Drosophila melanogaster: one gene and its partners. The gene in region 1 interacts genetically with each later gene. Each region holds a gene or a part of one and is shown on either strand. Other genes may lie near its edges.

Region 1 (4,579 bases):
CGCCCCCGTCAACGGACCCGTTCAAAGACGCTGCCATAACTTGTACACATGTATAATATAAATTAACAAACCGCTCCATCGTGTTATCAACGACATAGATAATAACACGCCCAGCGCAGAGCCTGAAAAACTGAAAAGCTGAAAAACAGTTACTGTTACAAGCTAATAATAATAACAAGAGTGAGTGCCTTGCCTTTGACCAGCCGGAGACGACAACAACGTTTGATGTTGTTGGTGGAGACGGTGACATCAGAGTCTAAATCTAGCGCGAACAGATTTCTTTTAATTCCGTAAACTAAGTGGACAACGCACCGTACTCGTACCGCACTCGTTCCGTACTCGTTCTCGTACTCGAAGTCGTATTCCTATTCCTCCGGGCGGGCATACTCGTGAATAGCGAAACCTAAAGGAAATCTACGAAAAAAAAGCTGGCTGCATGAAAAACATCACCAGCTCGAGCACTTGCAGCACTGGGCTGCTGCAATTGCAGAACAACCTGAGCTGCAGCGAGTTGGAAGTTGCCGAGAAGACAGAACAACAGGCAGGTCCGTTGCCCATCCGAATTACCCAGTCATACAAAGACACACCTCGTAAATCCAAACTCTATGCCATAAACCTACAACTCCACCCCCACCCCACACACCCACTCCACATCCAGCGCCCAAAAGTTTGTCGATCTCTGGTTTTTCTTTGGTGACTTTCCTCGTGGGTTCTCAATGCAAAGCACATGCACATGCATGGCGGGTTTTCATTTGAGAAAGTCACCCGAAAACGGAGACCTGAACTGCAGGGCACCTTCTCTCCATCGCTATAGAGTAAACTCTCCACCCATCTGCACATATCTCATACATATCGTACATGTAAACCATACATACATACATACATACATACATACATACCCAAATCTAAATCTAAGCGTTCTAAATCCGAAAAGAGAGGGCAAGCTGCCACCAACTTTCGATTGCCAAGATGAATAATTCAATGGATTAGTCAGGTTTAAGATAACACAGTGGTTCTTATAAGATGAATGGGGGGGGGGGGGGGGGTTAGCTCGAAAATATTTTGCCAACCGAGCGGATTTCGAAAAGAGCTTTTCTCGCATGTGTTGTTCATTTTGCACAGCATTGCATAATCTTATTTTTGGCCAGAAGCTTGTAAATGCAGTGTGGGAGACAATTCGCAGCACAAAAAAATCATATACATACGGATTTTGTCGATCTGGATTTTGGCGAAATATGTTGACATGTCCACGCGATCTGCTGTTTTACGATATATTTATTACCTCAGTTTAAGAGCCATCAACTTGTCTGCTGTTCACATATACATAGATACACATTATGAAAAGATATATGTACATATGGACATATACTTTTATTTTTATTACTTTACTGGCAATAGTGAGCAACGAAGACTAATCGAATAGCTGAATGTCCTATTGGAATCATTAAAAAAAAAAACCTGAAAAAGATTTGGTATACTTGTGGGCATTGTTTGCCACAACACTTGTTCGCAACTTGTCGGTTTTAAACAAAAACTTTCAAGCAAAACTACAATAATTCACTTACTATTTTTACTTCTGAATCGCATTCTACGAAATGAATTTTCTAAATGAGCTGTGTATATTTACAATAATATCGTAATACCTTTCTGCAAACAACGCAACTATTGATAAGTGATAAAAGAAAATGAAGTGAAAACAATGAAAAAGTCAACTTGGACAAGCCGAACACCATATACTCTACGAGTTACAACCAAAATGTATTACTCACGTTGGTATATGACCAGTTGCTATCACAGCTATGGGCTTCTGTAGCCTACGGAATGAGTATGTCATGAGTCATTGGCGAATATCTTTAAGAGCAACGAAAACATATCCGATTGTGATAAAGTTAATCGCAGTTACTTAAAAAAAAAAACAGCAAGCTCAGCCCATTTAGTTGACCGATCGTTCTTATGACTGCTGCGTTACTTACTCAATAAGTAAGTACTTACTCAATTTCCAGCATATCAATGAATGATAAATTTGAAGAACTTTTAGCAAATTATGAGTTCTTTACACAATTATGGTTTTCTGCCTTAAATTTCCTATGTTAAGTTAAACGTACGTAATTTTCCAACAATATTTGAACTATATAAACTTCAAAAGGCTTTCGGAAAATTTAAAGTTTAGTCACCTGTTTTAGCTTAAAATATCCTATATCCGATCAAAATCGTAAATATATCTAATGAACCATTCTAGTTTTCACTTCCTTCGCACATTTGTTGTCTATTTTCTAGCTGCCTGTTCTTAAACACTTGCTCTTAGAAAAGTATTTCGTAATTTCATTATTCCTTTATGTTCATTATTAACATTACCTCACATAATTTCATTAAAAGCTAAGAGGACAAAAGATTTATTATTAATTATTTTGTCGTTGCACCTCACAGAAATTCCTTTTTAACCTTTGCCAGGTTGCAAATTCGTTTGTGCTGACTTCTAAAGATTTTCGGCAGCAGAAAATGGGAGTGCGTTGCTTTAGGGGTTGAAATAATGAAAGGGCAGCGCACCGAACTCTATATGCCCTATGAATAATCAATGAATTAATACGTGTACAGTGTTTCGCTTAAGACAGTTTAAGTTCTATAGTGCAATTGTGAATAATTAAAATTTTTTACAGATCGTTATGCTGATTGAAAATATATTTGTACACTTTATAGGGTTAGAATCGCCACCTTAATTTCCTATAAAACTCTATTGACTTGGGAATAATTTGAAGACCTAAAAAATGATCTCTACATCATGTGTATTGATCTGTATTTTATGTAACCAAAAGATTATCCTTTTGATAGCACCTTCACACGAATATAGGATATATATGCTATACTAAACATATTGTCAATAATTTGATAATGCATTGCACTGTCCTTTTATATTATTTGTCACTAAAAAGATACGAACAATAATTTTTACCTGTTACGGTTTTCTGCTGAAAGTCAAAGTGCGTTTGGCTGTGTAGGGATTGCGGATCCCAACTTTGATCCTGAGTGCGCTAAGTACGTCATCATCGAGCTCCTTACCATCCCATCCAGGCACATTCTTCGTTTATATATGTATGTATGTATATGTATGTATAAGCGGATATATATATATGTATGTACATTATGTATGTGTATGCGACGGGGCATACATAAAGAAAATGAAAAAGCAGAATGCATACCATAAATTCCAATTGCCGCACAACAAAATTGCGGCTTCTAAGGGTAGGAATGGAAAAGGCAGGAAAAAGAACACACATTCCCTTATTAAAACCGAACAGAACTGAACAGAACGAGCAGCTGCGTGTTGAGTTTTCGAGGCGGAAATTGAGTTCAAGCGTAGGAAAGTCTGTTTCTAGTTTTTCTAATTGGAAATTATCCCGAACTGAACCGCTGCTGTTTGAATTCAGAAATTCTGAAATGCCATGTGATAATATTAATGCACGGTTCAGCTATTTTGTCCGTTTCATTACACTCCTTTTCGTCCTTTTGTGTGTGAGTGTGTGTGTGTGTGTGTGTGTGTTTGTGTGCGTGGAGTGCTTACGAGATTATGAAAAATGGCACATTCACCCCCTAAAACGATCCCAACCCCTGCACTGCGCCATGCATTTCCAAGCTGTGCAATATGCATTCTACTTTTTTGATAGCCAAACATACAGTCGTTTCCGTTTCGGGAAATTCTGGTATTGTGCCTAGGATAGAACTGGGATCGAACTGTCCCGACTTGTCCTGGATACTGGCGAACTGCTTCCATACGACGCCATTCTATTATTAACTACACCCATCTATACCATACTTTATTAAACTGAACTAAGTCCAGTTTCTTCTTAATATAGCAGATTAACTATGCAGTACTATACCATTATTTACTCTACTAACTACCATTGCAAGCTACATAGCTGACTACAAACTACTATTGCCTATTATACCATATATTCCATACCTTACACTATAACATTCTATTCCTTATCATATCATATATGGATACCATAGCATACCATGCCTCTGATCCTTGATAGTGTTGACTCGCCCCCTGTCTGAAGTTCCGTAGCACACCTTTACCTATGCTAGACTATAGACTATACCATACCATACCATGCCATACCATACTATACCATACCATACCATATCATACCCCTGCTGACCCAGACTCTCACTTGACGCCCCACACTGCAGGCTGGCTATTTGAAGGCTTCTACTTCCATTCTATTTTATTCTATCAATAGTACGCTGCGAGGGTATGTGCCACACTGCATTCTATCCGCTGTCTCACGAATACGAATGCCTAGAGCAACCATCCCTATAGGTTTATATGGGCGAAACACCAGGGGCAGAAAAGGAACCGGCCAAAACAAAGAATAGAAATATGTGGAAACTATACGGCACATTTCAGTTTGACGTGCGCGTTTCTCTTAACCAGACGCATTTTAGTTTTTGTTTCTTTGCCGCTGCCGTCCGGGATTGTTTTTTTTTTTTTTCACGCTGTGTGGAAGAAGCAAGGCGAATACAAAACAAAAATAAATTACAAAATAATTGAAATTATAATGATTCGATAGATATGTAT
Region 2 (4,655 bases), on another chromosome or scaffold:
ACATAAAAACCATCCCTTAATATAAACAAAAAGTTATTTACGACCAATTTATCGACACAGGGTTCTCGGAGACTCAAGTCGAACGCGACCCGTGCTCTCCCTCGATGCGGAGTCTGCTTCGCCAGCGGCGCCGCCTGATTACCTAACCATACTGACCAATCCGGCTGGCAGTAGTTTCAACGCGGATCCTTCGCCAGCTTCCAGCAGCAGTCCCGAGTCCATAGAGATCGACCAGCGACCCGTTGGCTACTCCCAACGCTCGCAATCGTTGGGCAGGAAACTGCATCGTTCGGGTGCTTCGACACTGGAGAGGCGGCCCTATACGGCGGAGGATGTGGTGACCATACTGCGCTCCTCGGTGCGACATCGCCAGTCGCAGGGAGGCGGAAATTTGGTCACTGCCAGCACCCTGCCTCGCCCCCCAACCGCCGCCATGTCCACGCACTTGGAGGACGCCTCATTCCGATCCATAGAGAATCTTGTGCTGAATGCCGAGCCACCGGACAGAACGCCCGGTGTGGAGCTGGAGCTCGAATTGGAGGCTGGACAGGCGGAGGAGTGCGCGCGAAATAATACATCTGTGATTTAACTGACTAATATCGTACCGTACATAGCGTAACTCTTATGCGATCCACATATCCGCTTGCTTTCTTAGACTTGATTAGCGCTAGTTATCTAAATACGAATATTACCTTGTAGTTATGCGAATAATAACGAAAACAACTAGTTGGTACTCCCAAGTGTGAGCTCTTTTGATCCCTACAACCGGTATTCCCAGTTCGATCCAACCCACCCCATTTAATTCCATTTCACATATATTTTAGGCTTACGGATCGCGCCTGTCTGCACAGTTGCCCTTAAAATTATCCCAACAATGGAGTAGGCCTCCTACGTGCCCAGCTCTCGAGGGTCAGCTATTTAAGGGAATACGTACTTGGGCCCTAAGCCGATTAACAAACGTGACCAGTTGAATAAAAAAAGTGAAAATAAACGGAAGTCCAGGATGGCGTAGCCAACAAAGGCGCCTAATGAGGCGGGCCAGGAAGTTGCTGCATATTTCGATTAAAATGTCACGCCATTTCTTTTGTTTTCTTTGTGACTTGCATATTCCAAAGGGATTGGCCTGCAAAAAAGTTAATCCGCGGAATTTTTAAATCAGCACGAATTGGCGGTTATTATTTTAATATCTGGCAGCGCTGGTTCAAAGAACCAGTTCAAATGGGTTGAGTCTCGGCTAGAACTTTTGTGAAGTTCACACAATAATTGATACCGTTATTTTTACTTATAATTAGTAATTTTAATGCTAGAAATACATAAATAACAATTGAGACCTATATAAAAGCAAGTGATAAGGGTTCTTATACAAGCCAATGTGTGTAGTACAACTACTCTATAATTTGGGATGATAGTTATAAAGTTTTAAATAAATATATATTTTCATGAAAATATTATCAACACTTTAATAATGAACGAGTTTTTGGACCCTTATTAACCATAATATTTGAAATTTAAGTTGGAACAAGAAACTTTTAAACTGTTGGCGAACGCGGTATTTTTTAGGCCCTTCTTGCCGGGTGAGGTTACTCCTGCATCTGGTAACACTGCTCGGCAGCGAAACAGAAACATAAAAAATTCGAACGGCGACGAGAGCGGTCAGACGCACGCATCACTTTCAATCGCGTCGCGTAGAGCGTCCAAAAAGAATTATAGTATAAACCAAGAGTGAAGATTCCGGTGAGCAAAGAATTTGCAATTGCCAAACTTAAGCAAAAACCATAAAGTGTGCATTGGCAATTGAAGTCGCGCGTTCTTAGCCAATCCACATTTGCACGGCCATTTTAAAGCCAAGTTAAGGCCAAAGTTTTCTGCCGCGCCGTCTTCGTAAGTCGCAGGTCGAAAAGTGCTCAAACGAGATTTCCACTTGAAATTCCTGAATTTCGTTTGTCTGCGCGAATCGCATCGAATCGAATTGAAGCACAAATCGCAGCAGCAGAAAAGCGCAAAAGTCGAATTTAAATTCCGTCTGCAAAGTGCCGAAAATTAGTGTCTTTGTTGTGTTAGTGTTTTGTTTCTTTGTCTGTGTGGGTGTTACGATTACGATTGGATTAGCGGTGTTTTCGCCTGATTAAAACGGTAAGTGTCCTTGCGATAATCCTGCGTGCAAAGTTAGTTAGCTGGTGCCAAGTTCGCTCGCCACTCACACACCTCCACCGCCGCCACTCACAACTTATTTTGCTGCAATTTGCTCTAGTGTTTTGTATTAGCATTTTTATGTCCCGCCTCGCCAAAGTTGACAAACAAAAACGTACACACACACACATACACGCACCGACACGTAAGCACACGCACACAAAGGATTTCATTACATTTTGGGTGGGACGTAACGGTAACGTTGAAGTGTAACGTATAACCCTCCCCTCGTTCTATCTCTTTCCCGCCCAAAGCCCCGAATGCTGTGCTACCGAATTTGTTTTCGCCTTCGCTCAGTTCTGTTTTCTCCTGTTTTTATTTATTTTGATGGCGTATTTTGCCATTCCGCTTTGTTCGTATTGCGTATCCTGTCGCCTGCGCTATCCTTCTACAGTCGCATCTGGCTAGAAGGAACTATCGTGTGCCTCAGTCACATGAAAAATATTACACTTACGTAGGTGATTTGATTTTTAAATGTATAAAGTCCCCTTCAAATTGCTAATTGAAAAATATATAAGTTCATGTACATAATCTTATTATGTCATCAATTAGAACCACAACATCTTTGGTTTCCCATTAGTATTTATAGTAACATTTTCTGAGCCCAGGGTATTCTGGTTTCACTGTACATTTTTCGCTGTCAGCTTTTCTTCCTAGTTTCTGCCAGCATTGAAATGAGTTCGCAATAAATATTGCCCAATGTCAAATAAAAGGGCGATGAGCCAGCCTTTTTCCGCCATGGCCCCTTTCCACCTCGGCCTATCTCCTCCATTCGCTCTAATCTCGGGGGACACTAATGCTTTACGACAATTCCTATGCCGTATGCCGCCCAGTACAAACTTAATGCACACATCAATGGCAAATTAGATATACTCCACAGCAAATGTACTAATAACAATCATCGAGTGCGTGTGCGGGCGGGCTTCCGATTCATCCCATACCATACCATACCATACGATACGATACCATCCCGAACCATTCCATCCCACACATACGTCCTCTCAAGACGATTGTTTTGTTGATTTGGCTGTTACTTCCAATACATTGGCATTTAAGGGGCAGAATTGGGATCCACTTATGTGCCTGCCTTATGTCTCATTTGTCGTCGGGCAAATGGAAATCGTTTTGTTTTTGCCTTGTCAAGTGACAAATTTTCATTGTCTCCCGCCACTAATCGCTTACTTAAAACAAAAAAAAAAACCAAAAAAATGAAGAAGATACCACGCCAAAGACTCCAAACAAGAAATAAGACAAGTGTAAATAAACACTTGAGGAGGAGGGAGCGTGGGATCGGGAGTCACGACTAACCGATATCCTCTGTACAGTGTGGGCGGGGGCATATACGCAATGACATTATCATAAAAGGTGCACATGCCAGAAGTTAAGTCGCGACAACTTTCCGTTATAACTTTCAATAACCTTTGTTGTTTGCTCCAATAAAAGCATTTTAATCGATACTCTTGACTTGTGTCAATCCATTCGGATTTGTTTTTGGTTACTAATGGATGTAATGTATGAAGTTATTGGGGCGGCATAAATTAAGAACTTATTTCCTTTGTGGATTTCACGTTACTAAACAGATGGTGATGTGACGCAAATGAAGTCCTAACAAAAGGATATTTATATATATGGTATTCTTTCGCCTAGCTATTTACCTGTATTTTCATATTTATAAAAATACTAAAAGGCCATTCATATTTTATATGGCGTGTGGTCTAATTACTTATTTTTATGACCTAGAGAAGCAAAGATTATAAATTAGCCGTTAAACATTCCTTTCCTCCATCGTACATACCTTTCGATACCCTGTAAATTCCAGTGTATGTACTTAGAGTACGCACACGTACTTGCCTCTTTTGGTGGCATTGCCCGCGGCACCTTCACTTGGCGCAGCTTGCCTTAATTTCCAGCGGACAAACCACTTTGTTATCGCCACGCCGAGGGCCCTTTAATCTCTGGTAGTCCCTGGTTGGCTGGTCAGACCCACCTCCATCTCCGTCGCCTGCCCATTGATTTACGTCTCTATTTTCCAAATGTAGCGCAATCGATTTAGATTGATTTTGTTTAAACAAACTGCACAGCGCAGCAGAAGCAGCAGCATAAAAGGCACCAGAAAGTGTAATAAATAATTGGAAACGGAATCGTTGGGCTGATTTTAATGCCAGCGTTAATTGCGAGAGCCACCCAATTTCATTTCCATTTCCATGCCCAATCGAAATCCAAATGCCATTCCCCAACCCTCCCCATACCTTCAACATTTTCATGCCGATGTAGCGATGCCCTAGGCCAATTCCAAATCCAAATCCAATTCCTATTCCTATTCCTATTCCATCGATGCTTTGGTAATTAGTTGTGAATTGGATTGGGGATCACATAAAAGTGTTGATTACACACTCCGATGGCTGCGCCCCCAGCCACGCCCCCTTCCCGGCTGGGTGCCAAGTGTTTTGTTTGTGTTTATCTCG
Region 3 (4,900 bases), on another chromosome or scaffold:
GGAGGAGCCGCCGCCTGGGGCGTTGTGGGTGAGGAAGGCACCACCGGACTCAGTACGTCGCCCATAAGAAAATCGCTTGGCGTCGCCGGGCCGGAGGATCGCATAGGGGAGTTCATCATCTGCGCTCCACTGGGGCTCATACCAATCAGCGGTGACTGCTGCTGCTGCTGTTGGGGCGACTTGAGCTGGTTCGGATTCGACATGCCATTGCCGTCGTTCTGCAGCAGATTCACAAGCAGCGGCGACGATATGGCAATGTTGTTGCTGCCCGTCGAAGTCGCCGTAGGCAGCGGCGGATGCCCAAGCGGATGGTTAAGCTGGCTGGGTGCCGTCACAATGGCTGGCTTGGCACTAACGCCCGCTATGGCAATGGGTGAACTGACGCTGCTGGCCGTTGCAGCTCCCAAACCCGGATATGGCGGCGGTGGTGGCTGGATGAACTGAGATTTGCTGCCCGGCGGCGTTGGAGCAGCTGACGTTGGCGTTGTGGGTGTCAGTTCGCCATTCTGAGGTGCCTGCTGCTGTTGCGTCTTCAGCACCTTTAGAGTTACATTTGGCGGAGGAGGTGGCGGTAGGGGCGGACCCAGACCGCCCGCCTCTCGACCTTGCAGTACTCTCGCCTGCCGCATGCTCTCGAAGGGAAAGTCGCGCGTGGCGGACGGTGATGGCAGCAGCAACGGCACCTTGCCCTCCATGGGACATACAGTATTGGGGGATTTAAAGACGGCGGGTGTCACGGCCACCTGCTGCTGCTGCTGTTGTTGCTGCTGCTGCTGCGTGGTGTGGAGGGGCATCTTCTGAAGTCCCAGGCCCGCCGCCGCTGCTCTTCTTTGCTGGAGTGAGATTGCATCGTTTTGGGGCTGTTGCAGGATTCGCTGCTGCTGCTGTTGCATAAAGGCGGATGCCGCCTTGCTCGTACTGGGGCCATCGAATCCCGTGGCCAGCAGACCACTCTTGTTGCCGGAAAGCGAGCCAGCCGCCTCAAGTGTCTCGTTTACATTATCTGCGGGTAGGGATTACTCAGGTTAATTGCTCGTTTAGTGGACATTTGTTGCCATTACTCACCCTTGGTTATCTTAATATCTTGTCCACCAACTTTCAAATTTATCACAGAATCGCCCTCGAATTGCACTGACTGAATGTTGAGGGCGCGCAGCTCCGGATTTCCATCGTTGGCCAGCTGGCGCAGCCGTTGTGCTGCGTCCCAGGGTAGCGAGACCAATATCCGCACCAGTGACGGTTCAAGCTGCTGCAAAGTGGCACACATGTGAGACATTTTGCAAATTTACAACATTTAATTAACATTTAAGGAGCCGTATAGGAAGAGAAAGAAGAAGAGGGATAGTGAAATTGCTGGCGATGGCCACTATTTTGTTATCGATATCTATGCAGCGAGAGTTTGCAGCCCTGGTTTACGACACGCAAACATAGAAACGCCTAATTTATGGCCAAACACAATTCCAAACCTTAATTATTTAACTTATAATTTACCTTCACTAGATCTGCCATACTTGAATCTAATTATTTTTATATATTGCATATGTTATTTGCATTTCTCGTTTTGTTTTTGACCCTGCGGTCTCTGGCGCTAGAGCAGGATGGCCATAGGGCACTCGTTGGAAATTCCAACAACAATTTGTTTCGACAACAGTCCCCAAAGATAATGCGCTTGAATTGAGTAACCCAAAAGACAATTCAGCTGACTGCATTTTCCACGCGCGGCATGCCAAAAGGGGGCGGAGCGGGTCGGGGCAGCTGGTGCCCACAGGTTGCATTTTCTCATGCGTGCGTGCGTTTTCCTTTTCTCTCTGCGGGACGTGTTATCGATACCCCGACGTCGTCGCCATTTTTCTTCTTGGCCTCTTGGAAGGCGGTGCGCCGGTGTGCGTGCTTGCTCGTGTACGTGTGCTGGTTGGGCAAGTGTGTGTGTGTGGCAGAGGGAAAAGGTAACCAAAATACTTGCTTGGCACTAAGGCGGGGGGTAAAAAGGGGGCGGGCTGATTAATAAAATAAAAAAGGGGGAACCGAAAAAGAGAGATGAAAAAATAAACACGGGAAATGCGAGATTCTATACACTCGAAGCCAACCAATTAGTTCACCCTTTTCGCCGCCTATTGTTTTTGTTTTTATACCCGTCTCTGAGTGCGTGGGTGACGCAAGTGTAAAATGAGCAAAAGCGATGGCAAAAACAGACAAGAAAAGGGGGGAAAAAGAAGCCCACTTGAAGTGCAATAATCGCAAATCAGCTGTTCCGTTGCGCTCCACCAAAAAGCGAAACACGATAAACTCACCTGTTTAAGTGGCATATCATCACACGACAATCGCACGCGTCGTAGGTTTAATTGTTAGAACGCTGCTCAATTCTCGCATTTAGCTTTCGATTGACCGCCGTGGCGTCCTTTGGATTGAAATTGTTGGACCAATTGCATTATAGGCTTGACACTCGATGGCTTCGGTTTATTGTCTTTCGATGTAATCCGCACTCAGTTTTTAACCTCTGCGACTTGGGTTTTTGGGCATTTTCCACTATTATTTTTTTCTCTTCTCCCCTTTTGCTTTTTACTTTTTTTTTTAGTAGTAGCCTCACCAACACACACACTCACATGCACTGCAACACACACACTCACACACACACACGTGCGGGGCGCGGATACGGATTTTCCTGCGTCACTTTTCAAGCGCTTTTCCTGCTGGAAATCTTGCGTGCCCGCTTTTCAATTGTTGTTTAGGGCAAACTGAATACGTTTGGGCCCCCACTGTTCTCCATTTCACAATCGCTGGCCAAATAGTAATGCCTGTTTAGCGGAACTCGAAAATTTTCACGCATTCGGGCAGCCGATTTTCGGGGGCTTAATTTCACACGGTTCGATTGCGTGCGGGCACTTGATAAACGCACTGATTGCTGTCGAAAGATTCGCGCTTGTTTTTCAACCATCAATTGGCGTTGCAACGATGCGTTTATCCTGTTTATTTTGTACAAAAAACTTCGTAATTATTAAATTTCCACGAACAATAACAAGCACACAGTGGTAGCCATTTTTATTTTCCAGCCGGTGTTGCCAGACGTCCGCGGCCCGAAATTCCCTAAATTTCCCGACATATTTGTGGTTACCAGGGCTGCGAAGTAGCCTGTATTGGAAATTTGGCTCGAGCAGAGTTGTCAATTGTTTGGAAATTGTAATTTTATTTAATTAGTGCTAATAAATTTATAAATAAATTGTATTGCTATATTGTCTTTTATTTTTAAACATGTTTAGCAATCATAAATATAATGGTAACATAATTTGAACATGTTCAATATATAAATTTCATTCACAAATATTTTTCCTGCTTTAAACTATTGATTTTAGCTGGCCTCATAGCTTCCAGATGAAAAATTTGAAAAGTTATTACTTAACACACTTTTCTCTTAATTCTGCGTATTTAGCCTCAAAATCATTTTATTATTAAATGAAATGATTCTGTCAAATTGTCTAGGAGTGCTTTTTAATATATATTTTTATTATTTATTTTCCAAAGATCAATCGATAATTTCGCGAATGCTGCCACCTTCTTCGAATAAACGATAGTATTGAATAGAATTTGTTTTAGGTTCCATCTCTATCTCAGATTCTGAATTTGCAAATGTGAGTACATAACAAGGTTTTTCTTTAAAAAACACGGTTCAAGGGGTTTTGGAACTTAAAAAAAGTAATTAAATATCATACCAGTTGGCCATATCAACTCCATAAATTTCTGGGGAGAATTCATTAGTTGCTATGCGTTTAATGGCAGCTGCCTTTGAGCACCTTACGTAACTACCGAGCAATATAATTGATTTTTGTGATTTTCATTCTTTTCAGCGACATGGCCAACACTCCAGCCACCTCCTCTGCCGGACCCGTGCTCCGTGGCCTCCACAATGCCACCATCAAGCGCAACCTGGCCGTTTCCCTGGGCCTGACCGCCGTGGTGACCATCGCCTACAAAATTCTGGTCAACGATCCCAAGAAGGCCGCCTACGCCGACTTCTACTCGTAAATATAGCTTAACTATGCCACATGAATGTCATCATCTGATCTGTTTTATCCATTATCCCTGCAGGAAGTACGATGCCAACAAGTCCTTCGAGCGCATGAAGGCCGCCGGTCGTTTCCAGTCCTGCTAGGCTATGTTATCCCAAAACACAAGTAGTCTAAGTCAAATGATGTTGTAGAACAAGAGTTGCGCTTCTGTATTGAAAACTAAATAGATTTCAGTCTACGTACGTGCACGAAGGCGTTTTAATTTAGAGCTATCTTGTATTGCCAGCAAAAGTAAATGTGAAGGCAAATTATGATTAAATTCTTTATTATTTACTCGTATTTACAAACTTAGCCAAGTAATGCACAAAACAAACACACAAAACTATAAGGCCACACAAACCGGACCACATCTAAAACCTAATGGCAAAGTCCTTGTAGTCCAGTCGGCTGAGATTGCCCTGGTTCCGGACCTCACAGCGATCGATTTGGCAGCCGGGTGAGCCCTCAGTGGACAGCCAGGTGATCCTAAGAGTAGATTTAATCAGAAAATATTAGCATGGAGAGTGTAAACTATTCCGGTTTACTCACATCTTGTCCACCTCCTCCTTGGGCCCCTGCATCTTGCCCACAATGGTGCCCTGTTTGCTGTTCTTCACCCAGCCAGTGATTCCCGCCTTGGTGCAGCGATCGCGGGTGTCTTTCGTGAGATTCAGGCCTGCCGGTCGAAAAAAGCAATGGTATATGTTTTATATAGTCTCTAGTGCATGTGGAATGGGGCGTGAAACAAAGCCAAGGACAGTTTGGGGCCCCAAAGTAACTAGCTACTGAGGGTTTATTTTTAGGCAACCATTCGAGAGAGCTATGCTATGCTTGATTCCCGATTCCTATTTCCCATG
Region 4 (5,043 bases), on another chromosome or scaffold:
CACAATGACACCATTTCTGGTGCAACAACTAGATCATTTAATATTCTTTTCGGAAAATGGTTATTTTGTTACAGAATACACAACATTTATTGTGTCCTTTTCATTAAGTTTCTATCCTGGAAGGCGTTTAAGCTACCATCCAGTTTTTCGTTACTTTAAAGCCGAAGGTTGCCCCCGCAATATTGAGAATAAATATGAAATAAGATACTATAACTTGAAAAGACAACCGCATTTTCTATTTTCGGAAGCTGTGAATTAAAACGAATCATAAAAACACTGCTTTTGGTAAATACTTCAAGGCATTCCTAAACAACGTATTACACCGGAACAAAGTATTTACAACTATTTCAAGTTCGGAGACTATTTAAGCCGAATACTCTTGACTTTTAGATGTATCTTCCACAATATCTTGTATCTACAGAACTTTCAAACATTTTTATGGACTTGCAATGATTTCTCGTGAACGCAACTAAATATACCTTTCAATTTACAACTTTTCTATCCCAAAAAAGCATGTTATCCTTGTTATCCCCAAATATCCCCTTTTTGATCACTTACCGGTGGTGGTGTCCTGTACTGCTGTGACGGTCCCAGTTGCGGACTGTAGGGCCTTGGTGGCGGTGCCCAGCCGCCCTGTTGCCCTCCGTACGGCGATGGCTGGTGCTGCGGTGGCGGCGGTCCATGTCCTGGTGGAGGGGGTCCACCGGCCTGCTGTTGCTGAGCCGCCGCTGCCGCTGCCGCCGAAGCGGCCGCCTGCTGGGGATCGTAGGTGTTGGCGTAGCGATGCTGCGGCGGAGGCGGCGGATTCGAGGACTGAAGCAGAGAGTTTAACGTTGGCGTGGGTCCCTGCGGAGGCTGACCGGGTATGTAGCGCTGCTGGGGCGGACGATTAGGTGAGCCACCGGGCCCCGGTTGCTGCGGGGGTTGCTGTTGAGGATGTGGCTGTTGTTGTTGTGGAGGCTTTCCACCTGGCAGCGGCTGGCCATAGCGATATGGATCCATGTTGGGATCGGCGTGGTAGCGACCATACGCCGGATGTGGATGAGGCGGCGGCAAGTGAGTGTACTCCTCCTTGACACCGGGCGCATGCTCAGGTGCTCCTCCGGGCGGTGGTGGTGCAGGTCCGCCGTGGTGCTGCTGTTGCTGCATATGGGGTGGTGGCGGATGCTGCTGTTGCTGCTGGTGCAGATGATGATAGTGCATGACTGCAGCTGGGTCCGGTCCTGGTGGTCCTCCAGGACCAGATCCTGGGGGCGGTGGTGCGCCGTATGGATGTGGGGCAACATTTTGTTGTTGCTGCTGGATGCTGGGATCGCTACCGTTGTTGCTGTTGTTGTTGGGTGTGGGCGGGCCCGAGGTTGGCGGTGTAGCGGCACCAGGAGCCGCTCCAGCCGATGGGGGCGTGGCAGCAGGGGCGGGAGCGCCACCTTGCTGCTGCTGCTGTGTTTGCGGCGACTTTATTTTCTCATTCATGGCTGCTCATCGGCTTCTGGCTGCGCTGCTCCCGATCTCCCAGATTTTCCGGATCGGATTTTCCCAGATGTGTGGCGGCTACTGATGGAACACCGGTAACCACCAACAACAACAACGCTGACGCTGATGATGACGACGACTGCAGCGGCGAGTTTGAGGTTATGTTAGCTGCAAGTTATCAAAAACGGGGGATTAGCATTTGGCAAAGGGGGTCTGGCTTATTAAAGGGGGCAGTCCTATATCACTGGGCCTAAATCGAGCGGGTTAAACATAAATAATTTGTACTCGTTCGTGGGCTGTTGTGTATTGAAAAGTCCGCTACTAACACACGCACACACATGCTCACTCGAACAGGCAGCACCAATACCACAACAATTTATTTTCCGCCGCGTACGGTGGGCAAATCGTAGTGCGTTGACAACCCTGCCGCAACCGCTCTCGCAGTTTGAGCGCATCCACTCTCGTTGGCGCTCTCGCTCTCTCTTTTCACATTTGGCGGCTATACACGCACACGCCGTATCCCTTTCCGTCTCACTTGCACTTGCTCGCCATCCAGGCTGAAGGCATATGGCGCTCTCGCTCGCTCGCTCACTCTCTCCCTTGCTCGCTTTATTAGTTTCTGTGTGAAACGAATGAAACGGGCAGCACAGTAATGATTTTTTCGTAATTATTTTCTATGCCGATTTTTCGCGTTTACACAGCACTGGAATGGAATGGACGAGGGGGCATCATCTCACAATTGTTTAACTTATTTTCTTTTCGTGAGTGGGAGAGAGAGGGGGGCTAACGCTTAAGATTTATAAATAATTGCCGCGCCTGCTTGGCCGCGTTTGTTGCGCGTTCACTTTTGGCCGCTGCCGTTGTCTTGAGAGGCTCTCTTTTTTTGTTCGGCTGCTTGCGTTTTCCTGCGGTTTTTCGCCAAGTGTTTATGAAGATGATGATGATGCAAGGATTCGACATCCAATCATTTGCATATGTATACACACACGCACTCACTCGCACACACACTCACACAGCCTCCAAAGTGCATCGTCGAGAGGAGAGAAACTGAATTTTTCACTCGCCCTCGGGCGAAAGTCCGGCGGCAGATTTGTTGTTGGGCCAAGAAGACTCAATATATATTTTGCGGGGCGCTTTGGTTTTTGGGGCTTTTCTTAACCAGAAATCTACATACACGCACACCACTTACACATAGAAGAATATTCACGCATTGACGACCGTCCACAGACTGGCTATATATACTAAAAACGAACTCGCGTGAGAAGACAGGGACAGGGCAGCAAACTCGGTATACGAACGGAACGAAATGAAACGATTCAAGTAGTAGTGTATGCAAGTCTTGTCTGTCTGCGCCTGGCGTTCTTTTCTCTTCTTTTTTTCGATGGTTTTTCGCCAGGCTGGGCGCTGCCAAAACGCTGATACGGCGGCCACAATCACACGCGGCTAATCGCCAGTTGGGCCCTGCACAGGCTGCACATACTTTTCACTATTAATGCGCTGTATTTCACTTATTTTTCGAACAAATTCGCAGCATGACGAAGAAGCGAGCCTGTACAAGATTAGAGCGGGTAGCACGCACGATAGTATCGATACGTACGAGTATTTGGCACTGCGATACATTATCGGTGCTCGTTTCGATAGCCCCCGATAGCTCTAGCACGAAATTTTATCGCTTTATCCATATTTTATACTATTTTTATTTATTGGACTTCAATGAATATTTATTTTACGTTCTGGTTCGCTTTTTAAATATATATGGTAATCAATAGCTGGCGAATTAGCGATATTTGAGTGTGACGCAAAAATGAGTTGGCATCGATATCGATTTCTCGCTACTCTGGGACGCCATCTTTATTGCGGTATTTTAAACGGAAACTTAACTCAAATTAAACGGCGTGCTAAAATTTTCCATTTTTTTCGAATAAAAGCACGTAAAAGTTTGTGAAGATGTAAAAGTTATAAAAACTAGAAAGCCTTATTCGTGGCCAGCGCTTTCGTTTTAGAAATACGTCAATTTAAAGTTTTTAAGGTAAATTGCAAAATTGCAATAATTGCAATAATATAATAATAATAAAATTTTGGTAAGTTATAAGAGAGTAAATACAATTTTGAAAGTTTATACCCCCGTTAACAAACCACTTGAATTTAGAGTGGCAGAACTATGCAACTACAGCGAGTTTAAACATCGATATATTCGTGATTTTTGGTTTGCTTATTATCGATTCCATACAAAACTACCGGCATAAGCAATTTTAAAATAGACGTAAACAACATCAACGTAATTAATCCACAAAAACAAATTCTTTTATTAATTTTAATTGATGCAATACATTTTAATTTTTGTGAAACTCTAAATATCAATAGTCGCCCTATGCATTGATCATTGTCACAAACATTGTTAAAATTTATTAAATTTATTTTGGTAGAACACTAGGTTTTCGATTTACTGGCTTCCGGATTTTTACTCATAGGTTTTAAAAATATTTTTTGCCAAGGATATCAACTAAAAAAATATTTGTTTATTTTTTTATAATATTAATGAAATTCTATATTGAACATTTTTATTTTTTGAACTGCTTGCACAATTTGCTAATAAGAGAAGTTGCGCTTAACAGTAAAATGTTACTGACATTAACAGCACACGTACGAGAATTACAGTACACTGCTTTCGACTTGCTGTGATATCGAGCATTCCTGGTATCGAGTGCAAAATGGCGGCATTTTAAGTTCAATTTAACACGATTAGGTTGAGCTTGTCGATTCTTTTTTAAGTATAAGCCAACAAATGTTTCATTAAACGCATAATGAGTCGCATTTTATTTATTTTGTTGCTACTTATTGTGACGCAACTGAGCGAGTTGCAGGCGGCAGCATTTTCTGTGCGCCAAAATCGTTTTGATGAAGTTCCTGATTTGCAGACTCCTGCACCTCTGGCCACTTCCACTGAATCTTCTAAGAAACCCGAAAAAGGTTGGTTACATATGTACGTTTAGTGATATAAATTGAATATCTCGGCAATTTCAAAATGGCGTAAAGGGTGAAAGTGTTCTTGTCCGCTCTCTGTGAATATAAGTTACGGTTAATCGCTCTACACTGAAAACAACTGCATAAAAAACTTTCATATTTACATAATTAACAAAATCAAATTTTTGTAAAATTAAATACAATATAATATAAAAGTATAATTGTTTCTTCAATTTTAAAATTATATTTTTATGGTTATTTTTATTTCGTAAATTGTACAAATTTGGTCTTTCTGTGTAGCTACCAGTGGTCTGCTGAAAAAATGCCTTCCCTGCAGCGATGGTATAAGATGCGTGCCCCAAATCCAGTGTCCCGCCCACGTTCGCATGGAAAGCCATGAAAAGCCCCAAATTTGCGATCTCCCGGCTGGAAAATTCGGCTACTGCTGCGAGACTGGACAGAATCACACTGCTCCCAAGCCGGAGACCTCTCCCAAGGAGCGTCGATCCGGATTTCCCACCATTCTGTCACCCGCAGTTTTGGATGAGGCGCGTCGCAATTTCGAGCACTTGATGCATGGAGTTGCGCAGATTCCGGTGCGCCGTG

What was found.
Region 2: of sd (region 1) and sli, changing one suppresses a phenotype caused by changing the other (phenotypic suppression), as found in Drosophila melanogaster (one study listed by BioGRID).
Region 3: of sd (region 1) and Ncoa6, changing one enhances a phenotype caused by changing the other (phenotypic enhancement), as found in Drosophila melanogaster (one study listed by BioGRID).
Region 4: of sd (region 1) and osa, changing one enhances a phenotype caused by changing the other (phenotypic enhancement), as found in Drosophila melanogaster (one study listed by BioGRID).

Annotation. Positions count from the first base shown.
Region 1 is NC_004354.4:15,813,751-15,818,329, forward strand, and holds the start of sd (scalloped), read left to right. Parts: upstream 1-1,548; 5' UTR 1,549-1,980; intron 1,981-4,400; exon of another isoform or gene 4,401-4,579. UniProt on the Drosophila melanogaster protein: Transcription factor which plays a key role in the Hippo/SWH (Sav/Wts/Hpo) signaling pathway, a signaling pathway that plays a pivotal role in organ size control and tumor suppression by restricting proliferation and promoting apoptosis.
Region 2 is NT_033778.4:15,919,117-15,923,771, reverse strand, and holds the start of sli (slit), read left to right. Parts: upstream 1-1,653; 5' UTR 1,654-2,133; intron 2,134-4,655. Other genes in the region: bdg (bedraggled), read left to right, coding at 61-589.
Region 3 is NT_033779.5:5,323,661-5,328,560, forward strand, and holds the start of Ncoa6 (nuclear receptor coactivator 6), read right to left. Parts: upstream 3,024-4,900; 5' UTR 2,307-3,023; coding exon 2,292-2,306; intron 1,250-2,291; coding exon 1,066-1,249; intron 1,004-1,065; coding exon 1-1,003. Other genes in the region: cype (cyclope), read left to right, coding at 3,847-4,016, 4,084-4,147; CG14022 (uncharacterized protein), read right to left, coding at 4,415-4,529, 4,593-4,719.
Region 4 is NT_033777.3:17,715,294-17,720,336, forward strand, and holds the start of osa (osa), read right to left. Parts: upstream 3,058-5,043; 5' UTR 2,663-3,057; intron 1,642-2,662; 5' UTR 1,474-1,641; coding exon 559-1,473; intron 1-558. Other genes in the region: Pxt (Peroxinectin-like), read left to right, coding at 4,278-4,443, 4,738-5,043. UniProt on the Drosophila melanogaster protein: Trithorax group (trxG) protein required for embryonic segmentation, development of the notum and wing margin, and photoreceptor differentiation. Required for the activation of genes such as Antp, Ubx and Eve.